Daphnia pulex: one gene and its partner. The protein of the gene in region 2 interacts with the protein of the main gene of each other region in a pairwise test. Links are inferred from orthologs where the notes say so. Each region holds a gene or a part of one and is shown on either strand. Other genes may lie near its edges.

The links. The genes of interacting proteins can lie anywhere in the genome.
Region 1: the proteins of disks large 1 tumor suppressor protein-like (region 2) and ATPase family AAA domain-containing protein 3A homolog interact in a two-hybrid assay, tested with the Caenorhabditis elegans proteins (3 studies listed by BioGRID). The link is inferred for Daphnia pulex from reciprocal best matches to the Caenorhabditis elegans genes dlg-1 and atad-3.

Annotation. Positions count from the first base shown.
Region 1 is NC_060023.1:4,564,485-4,568,234, forward strand, and holds ATPase family AAA domain-containing protein 3A homolog, read right to left. Parts: upstream 2,902-3,750; 5' UTR 2,713-2,901; coding exon 2,496-2,712; intron 2,442-2,495; coding exon 2,004-2,441; intron 1,942-2,003; coding exon 1,661-1,941; intron 1,600-1,660; coding exon 1,499-1,599; intron 1,425-1,498; coding exon 1,267-1,424; intron 1,204-1,266; coding exon 1,050-1,203; intron 976-1,049; coding exon 861-975; intron 805-860; coding exon 553-804; intron 489-552; coding exon 384-488; 3' UTR 247-383; downstream 1-246. Other genes in the region: proteasome subunit beta type-6-like, read left to right, coding at 1-112. UniProt on the Caenorhabditis elegans protein: Essential for mitochondrial network organization, mitochondrial metabolism and cell growth at organism and cellular level. Important during development for the up-regulation of mitochondrial activity during the transition to higher larval stages.
Region 2 is NC_060025.1:300,705-304,460, forward strand, and holds the start of disks large 1 tumor suppressor protein-like, read left to right. Parts: upstream 1-1,094; 5' UTR 1,095-1,241; coding exon 1,242-1,779; intron 1,780-2,055; coding exon 2,056-2,267; intron 2,268-3,756. UniProt on the Caenorhabditis elegans protein: Essential multidomain scaffolding protein required for normal development. Recruits channels, receptors and signaling molecules to discrete plasma membrane domains in polarized cells. Required for proper embryonic elongation.

The DNA.
Region 1 (3,750 bases), on a different chromosome or scaffold from region 2:
GAGCAGAGATGGTTCCAGTGGTGGTGTTGTTCGTTTGGGAATTATCACAGAAGATGGAATTGAACGTCGTACAGTTTTGGGTAATGAACTTCCACGATTTTACGAAGATTGAGATTTTCAATGTAACTGCTTATGAAAGTACCAATACATAAAAGAAGACTTTAAACACATCATGGGAATCCGACTATTTTTATTAAAACTATGACGTAACTACGGGTAAACAAATTTGACTCTGGGAGAGGAAACGATGGACCATAATCCATAATGTATGGAATATATTGTCAAACAAAAGTAGCAACAAGACAAACAAAGCAAAATGTAACGCGTCGTAATTGCCACATTTGTTCAAGAAATTTCATCATTTACTACGGCCAATTTTTAATCTAATTATTCTTTGACTTTTCAACTCCGGATTGGGAAAGAAAACTCCTGTTTTTAGCGCTAATAGTTTTGAAATTTCCTCTTTCTTCTTCACTTTGCCATTCAACCTGTCATACAGCATACATTAAGTAACCAATAACTAAAAACAAATCAATTAAAAATTGTACAGACCTTCTGACAATGTTGCTGAACGGCATCTTTAACCTTCTCCATTACCATTTTCTCGGTAAGAATTCCATCAGAGGACGCATAAGCAGATGCTTGCCAAGCTACACCGAGCTTAGCTATTTCACGGCCTGACATTCCTTTCACTTCACTGGCAATTTTAGTGCATAACGCACCGTAATCAAACTGTGCAACTTTTAACCGTCTTTTTCCTTCTGCAGCCGGTTGTAAAATAAACTTGTCAAAATAGAGCCGAACCTAACAGTTGAAAATTGTAGACTTGACAGATAACGAAATAGTAATAACAATTGTACCAGTCGTTCTCTCTCTTCCAATCCCGGAAGCATAAATTCTACCATCTCATCTAATCGATCATTAACTGCCCAATCAAATTGTTCTGGAGTATTGGAAGCCAAAACCATCATGAACCTGAAATTAAAGATTTAAAGAAGAATATAATTATTTTGAAAAAAAAAAAAAACTTAAAACGACAACGGACGTACTTGTTAGATTGCTCGCCGGTACGGTAAAGAAAAGCGTTTAGTGTAGCTCTCAAGTCCTCACTGATTTTTTCTGAAGATCTCTTCCGTAAAAATGCGTCTGCTTCATCAACGAATAAAAGCAATCCTCGTCGAGAGCCATTAGCCCAATCAAAAACTGAAAGAAAATATTTCTATGAGCAAGTTTGATCTTACAAGAAAAATAAAAAAATAATCAAACCTTTGTGTATAGCCGTAACGCCATCCCTACCCAACGGTGAAATATCACCGCCGGTCAATATAGCATAATCGAGCCCACTATGTTTAGCTAGCTTTTTGGCGAACAAAGTTTTTCCAGTTCCTGGCGGTCCATGCATTAAAATGTTCCGGAACATACCCCTTTAAAAACACATTAAATAAACAGGAACAGCTTGTTGCTATACATGATTATAAAGATAAAAATGTCTGCTTACTTATTTTGCTTAGTATTTTTTGTTGCGATTGCAATATCTCTCAAGCGTTCCTCCAACTTGGGCTCCAAAACTACTCCAGACAAAGCATCTTCTGATTTAGCCTGAAAGCATTTCCATAAATACTCCACATATCTAAAATGTAATCTGTTTAACTGGAAGTACCTTGATAGCCTTTATAGTTTTGATAGGGTGGCGAATTGTATCAACAAGGTTTACTCTCGATGTTTCACGAACTAGAGAAGGCTTTCCGATTCGGGACTCGATATAGCGAGCAACTACACCAGTACCACCTTTGGCAGAATAAATGCCAAGGGCAAGTAGTGAGATTCCAGCTGCTGCTGCAGCTATTTTATCCCAGTCAGAAAGGAAAGTATTGAACCCAGTTCCCAAAACAGCACCAGCAGTTTTTATGGATTCCATGACTGTGGCACGATTTTCAGAAGCTGTAAAAAATAAATGAAACATGTTAAAATAGAATTACAATATGAAAATTTAGTTACTGTACCTTTAAGACGAATTTGTTCCAGATATAGATCTTGATTCTCTCTGTCAACCTTGGCTTTTGCTCTCATTTCAGCTTCAAGTCTCTTCATGTCGGTTTTTGAACGAAGATCCATCTCATACTCCAAAGTTTGTTTTCTCAAAGCTTCCTGCTTAGCAACACTTTCTTCTTGTTTCCTCAAATTTTCTTCATTAGCTCTTTGTTGTTGCAATAATTGATCTTCATATCGCTTCCGAGCCAATTGATCCTGGTATTGAGATCTTTGTTGATTTTGTTTTGTTTCTTCTTGAAGAGTTTTTCTTCTTTCTTCATGATCTACACGTTTCTGATCAACTTTTAATTGTTCAATGTGTGCTTCATACTCCTTGATTTTGGCTATTTGCTCTTGCTGTCTTGTTTGTTCTTGAGCTTTTGTCAAATCCAAAGCATCTCTGGCAAATTCTAAATAACAAAACTTTAAGTAATGTTTTATTCAACATATTGATACAAACTTACTAGATTTTTCCAATTCTTTAGCTGCTTGTGCAGCTCTCTCTAAGGCCGAAGAGTCAAATCTATAAGCATCTGAAGCCCGCGCTCCACCAACATTCCCACGAGGTTGTTGATTTTGCGGTTGACCGGTATTGGAATTGTCGTCTACACCACTTTCGGCAGGGGGTGGTACTGAGCCAGTGCTACTAGGGTCCTTCCTTAATCCAAAAAGCCAAGACATGGTGAATTCAAACTGTAACCAGAATTATTTCGAATATCTTGCAAAATTCCACGTGGATGGAATTATGAAACTTGCGAGGTAAATTTGGAAGCAGACGATTCGGACTACACCGTTCCGTTACTAGAGGCGTACGTAGCGACGGTTACGTAGGGGGAAAAATGAACAACTTTGATAAGTAAGGCCAAGAAAACTCTACCATTTCAAGCTATTTCAAGAAGTTCCTCACTCTTCGACACCTCGATAGATGTCGTTATATCTCCTTCGCCTGTTTTCCTTTTCTGTGTTTCAATCTGTAATCAGCTGTAATGTTTAAAGGCCTTTCAGTACTTGTGTTAATTGCTGTGAAGCACTGTGAAGTCAATCCAGCATGAACCGTAAAGTATTAACATTAGTTTTGATTAGAAAGCTAAATGAAGTATTGCTTGGTTATAAAAAGAGAGGATTTGGAGTAAACAAATGGAATGGTTTCGGAGGGAAAGTGGAAGCAAAGGAAGGTATTTACGAAGCAGCAGCTAGGTGAGAGATGAAAAATATTTGAAAAGGGATTTTACCTATAATGCAAAAAGTTATGTGAATGAAAAAATAGGGAATTGAGAGAGGAATGTGGACTTGTTGTCTTACCTGTAAATTTGGAAAAGATTGGCCTAATCAATTTTGAATTCGTGGGGGATCCTGTTATTTTGGAAGTTCACGTATTTACTTCAACTAAATATGAAGGCCATCCTTTTGAAACAGAAGGTAAATTACTCTAAAAACTAGACAGAGTTAATTAGTCAATAAACTTAATTATGTTTTCCTACATCTTCTTTTTTCATATAAAGAGATGTTACCTAAATGGTTTAATGTTACGGACATTCCTTTTGATGATATGTGGGTTGATGATAAGTTGTGGTTCCCTCTGTTCTTGTCAGGGAAAAAATTCAAAGGTTACTTTCTTTTCCAAGGCCATGATGTCATTTTAAAACATAATCTGGAGAATATAACATGTTTCTGAAATTCACCGTTTAATAAACTTTGTGATAAGTCCTGTATAACACG
Region 2 (3,756 bases):
GCGTGGGCGTATTGGCCGATCGATCGATTTTCTCTTGTATTCACCAAAGAATGGTGGTTGGGGGGCTCTTTTTTTTTATGATTTGTTATTATGGTTTCCAAACCAAACAAGAATAAAAAGAAAAGCCCTTCTTTTTCTTCTGTTTTGTGTAGAATATAATACCGCACTCCCCGAAGATTATAACATCCATCAGAACTGGAAAATTGCTGTCGAGATCTATCAATTTTGGGCCGCTTCTTCCAACTATATTCCGTTGGTCGCACACATAGACAGACAGACAATCCCGGGACGATCCATAACGTTATTTCGTCTTGTTTTTCTTTCTGTCGTTTTGCTCGGGAAACTAAACAGTCGAATGGGACTGTGATTTAAAAAAGGGAGAAGAGAAAAGAAAATCAGATTTGCATACACAAATCAAGTCATCGTTTTTCGATTCTTTCTAGACACACAATCTTCTCGGTCGAATGGACGTTGTGTGTGTGTTGCCGCTGTTCCGTCATCCATAACAACACAAAGTCTAATTCGGAAATGTCAAAAAAGAAAAGTCTCTTATTTTTGGGTGGGTTATTTTTCATCGTCATACATTTTTATTCCGTGAATTATTTAGTACTGCTCTGCGCTGGCAGCCATATATACATGGGTATTAGTTGGGGTGGGCAATCAAGCCCCGCAGTAGTCCGTCTTGGGGTTTTTTGGAAGCCAACAACCGCGACCGGATTAGTTTTGAGGCCCACGTCGTCTAATCCTCTGGATCCTTTTTGTTATTTATTTATTTCCAAGAAAGAAAAAGTAAATAGGGAAACGATGTGGGCTGGTGGGTTTTTACAAAAGAAGTCTGTCGACCGACTGTTGCTGTTTTCTACTACCTAATCTGTCTATATGCAGAGACGTTGATGAATGGAAGGCGAAAGTGGATTTTCAAGAGCCACTGTCGATCGAGTAAGAGCTAGTCGGCGCCGGCGCCGCTATATAGACGCTGGGTCCGTTTTGTGTGTGTTGTACATACGAGTGAGGAGGAGAAGACCAGCATCAGCCGTTAGCAGATGTATTCGCCTCTTCCGTGGTGGTGGATGTTGTTGCCTTTCTCGTCGACAGGACGGCGGCCTCGAGTGATCTTGTACCCGGATAAAATTACAAAACAAAAAGCACCACGCAGGATTATTAGTATGTCCATCAGGGTCTATGAGTGATGTGATGGCTATCGAGAGGTCCCGGACGACAGGCCCCGGTTGGTGGCCATTATGATGGCCCTGTTCGGCTTACTTTGGCTAATGCGCATCCGAGCGGAAGTGAGAAAAGACAAAAGAAAACGGTCGTCCAATCATCCCGGATTGGACGAGCATCTATTACTGTTGCCTCCTCCAGTTTCATTCGCCGACTCTAAACAACAACAGCAACAACTACAAGACGAGGAGGACGTTGTTGACGACGATGTGATCCCTCCGCCGCCTCCGCCGCCTTTGAGGCAGAACGTGCAAATCCATCGCTCCTCTTCGTCCATCCATCGCGACAGTTTCCAGCGTTTCCAGCAACATTACCCCATCTCTCAGCAGCCTCCGAGATTCTTCCAACAAGCTCAATCCTTCTCCCGTTCCGCTCAAAACTTACCGCTAAGCACCTTGGAGTGCACTTGTCCGACGGGCGGCGGCCGCCCAGCTGTCCGCCGGCCGGCTGTCCGATTTTGTGACGATCCATTCGGATTCTACTCCGCTCGTGGCGCTCAAAGTTGGAATTATTCGACTCTGCCACGCAATCGGCCGACGTCTCGATCCGCGCATGGTTGGTTATTCGGAATTCAATTAAGCTCCGGCTACTAGGATTGGTTGGCGGCCATACCGACACACACACACACACAAAAGTTTTCCAACAATGGAACGTCGACGACGACGAAATTTCCTTGTTTTTGATTACTTTTCTAATTTAAAGATATTAAGTCGTTGGCGCGTGTTGAATTTGATTGTTATGTACCTCTCAATCTATTTCAAATTGAGCGCCATTTCCATTCCATTAATGCGGCTGTCAAAACTAATTCCACGTTTTCCCCGTTGTAAATAGACATTCAGGAATTTTACGAGTTGACGTTGCTGGACGAGACGAAAACGGTGCAACAAAAGACGGCCGAGACGCTGCAAATGGCAAGCAAATGGGAAACGGCTAATCAACAGTCAGGGCCGGCAGCCGTCATCATTCCGACGCGGTTCGGCGACAGCATTCAACAACAGTCGTCATCTTGCGTCACGGCCGCCTCGACGTCGTTCCCGATGGAGGTAAGAACCCAATACAACCTTCGTTTGAATTTATTCGCAACTGTGGCGGGAGTGGGTGGCGTGTATAAAAAGCCAAAAGAAAAATCATTTTTCATTTTTGATGAAGCGATGTGGGAAACGGAACTTGGCGAATCCATGAATAAGCTCAAATAAATCTCATCCGAGTGCGTGGCTTTCTTATTCGACTCTGGATGAAACGAAAAAAAGTTGTAGGAGAATTAGGCGAATCGCTCTAGGAAAAATGTATTCAACTTTTAAAGAGCATTTTTGGGAGCGTCGGCTTGTATCAAAAGCTCCGATCGATTTCCCGCCCTCGCCCCCCCCCCCCCAACACACACACAAACGCCATGTTGATTTTGATTTCGACATCAACAAACACCAGCAGCGCAAACGTTTTCCAAAGCTGATTGAAGCGTGTTGCGGGTCGACGAGCTGAACCAACAAGAGAGCCACGGGATTGGCCGTTGCCACCTTGTTGACTTACACGTTCTCCCTACCAGATCTGAAAATCGTTGAATTTAAAAAATCATTCGCTTTATTTACCCGCCGTTATTATTGATGAATTATTCGGAAAAGAAAAAATCAACAAACTGTTGAATTAAAAAATAAATTAAAACCAACTTGCAACACGGCCGTGTCATTATCGATTTAAAAATAAAGAAAAGTTGTTGGGACGCGGAGTTTGACGCAACGGTTCGTTGCTCAATTCAAATACCCCGCCAGCAAGAGTTTGAGGATGAGCGTTTGCTCGTCGTGAGTCTTCATCTTCAAACATAATGAGCGGCTGTTCATTGACGCCCAGACGAGCTTGAACTCACCCCGCCCGGGTATTGATCCTCCTTCCCTGTCAGTGCCCGGCGCTGCGTGCAATGACGTCAACTACCCCGTCGTCTTTTAAGTCGCCTACTAAATGGACTTGGTGGAGGACCAGTGAAGATAATTTAATTTTTGAATTTGTGTTATGTGGGACCAGCACGAGACCAGTCCCTTTCTCGAGAAAATTAGAAAAGAGAATCGCTAACCGCTTGATGAGAAATTGGCAAGTGCCCCCTACTTGTAGTGGGCGAGGGTGGAGAAGGCGAGTGGCGTTGCGTCACGCACTTACCGGCTTTGAAGAGAGACAATCACGTTTTATCGTCGGCCAATGAAATGTTATTCGAGTTAAATGCACTACGCTGGTTGAAGCTCATTTGAAGGAAACACGTTTTTACGAGGCTGGATCGCTGGATAAGGGTACGAATCTCTTTGGGTTGGCCACCATCACTATATACTCTACGTTTCGTTAGTGCGTAGCCCAAGGGCGCCAACTCTCTGTACACTGGATACCGTTGGGCGGATGGGCGGACGAGAGTGTATTGTTGTTGTTGTTGTGGTTTTACCCCCCCAAACCGTGAGGTTGTTGCCATGCCAAGTAAATAAAAAAAAAACCCCTGGCAAACAAGCTTCTGGGTTTAATGGTTCAACAAACAGCGTGATAATACACTCATTT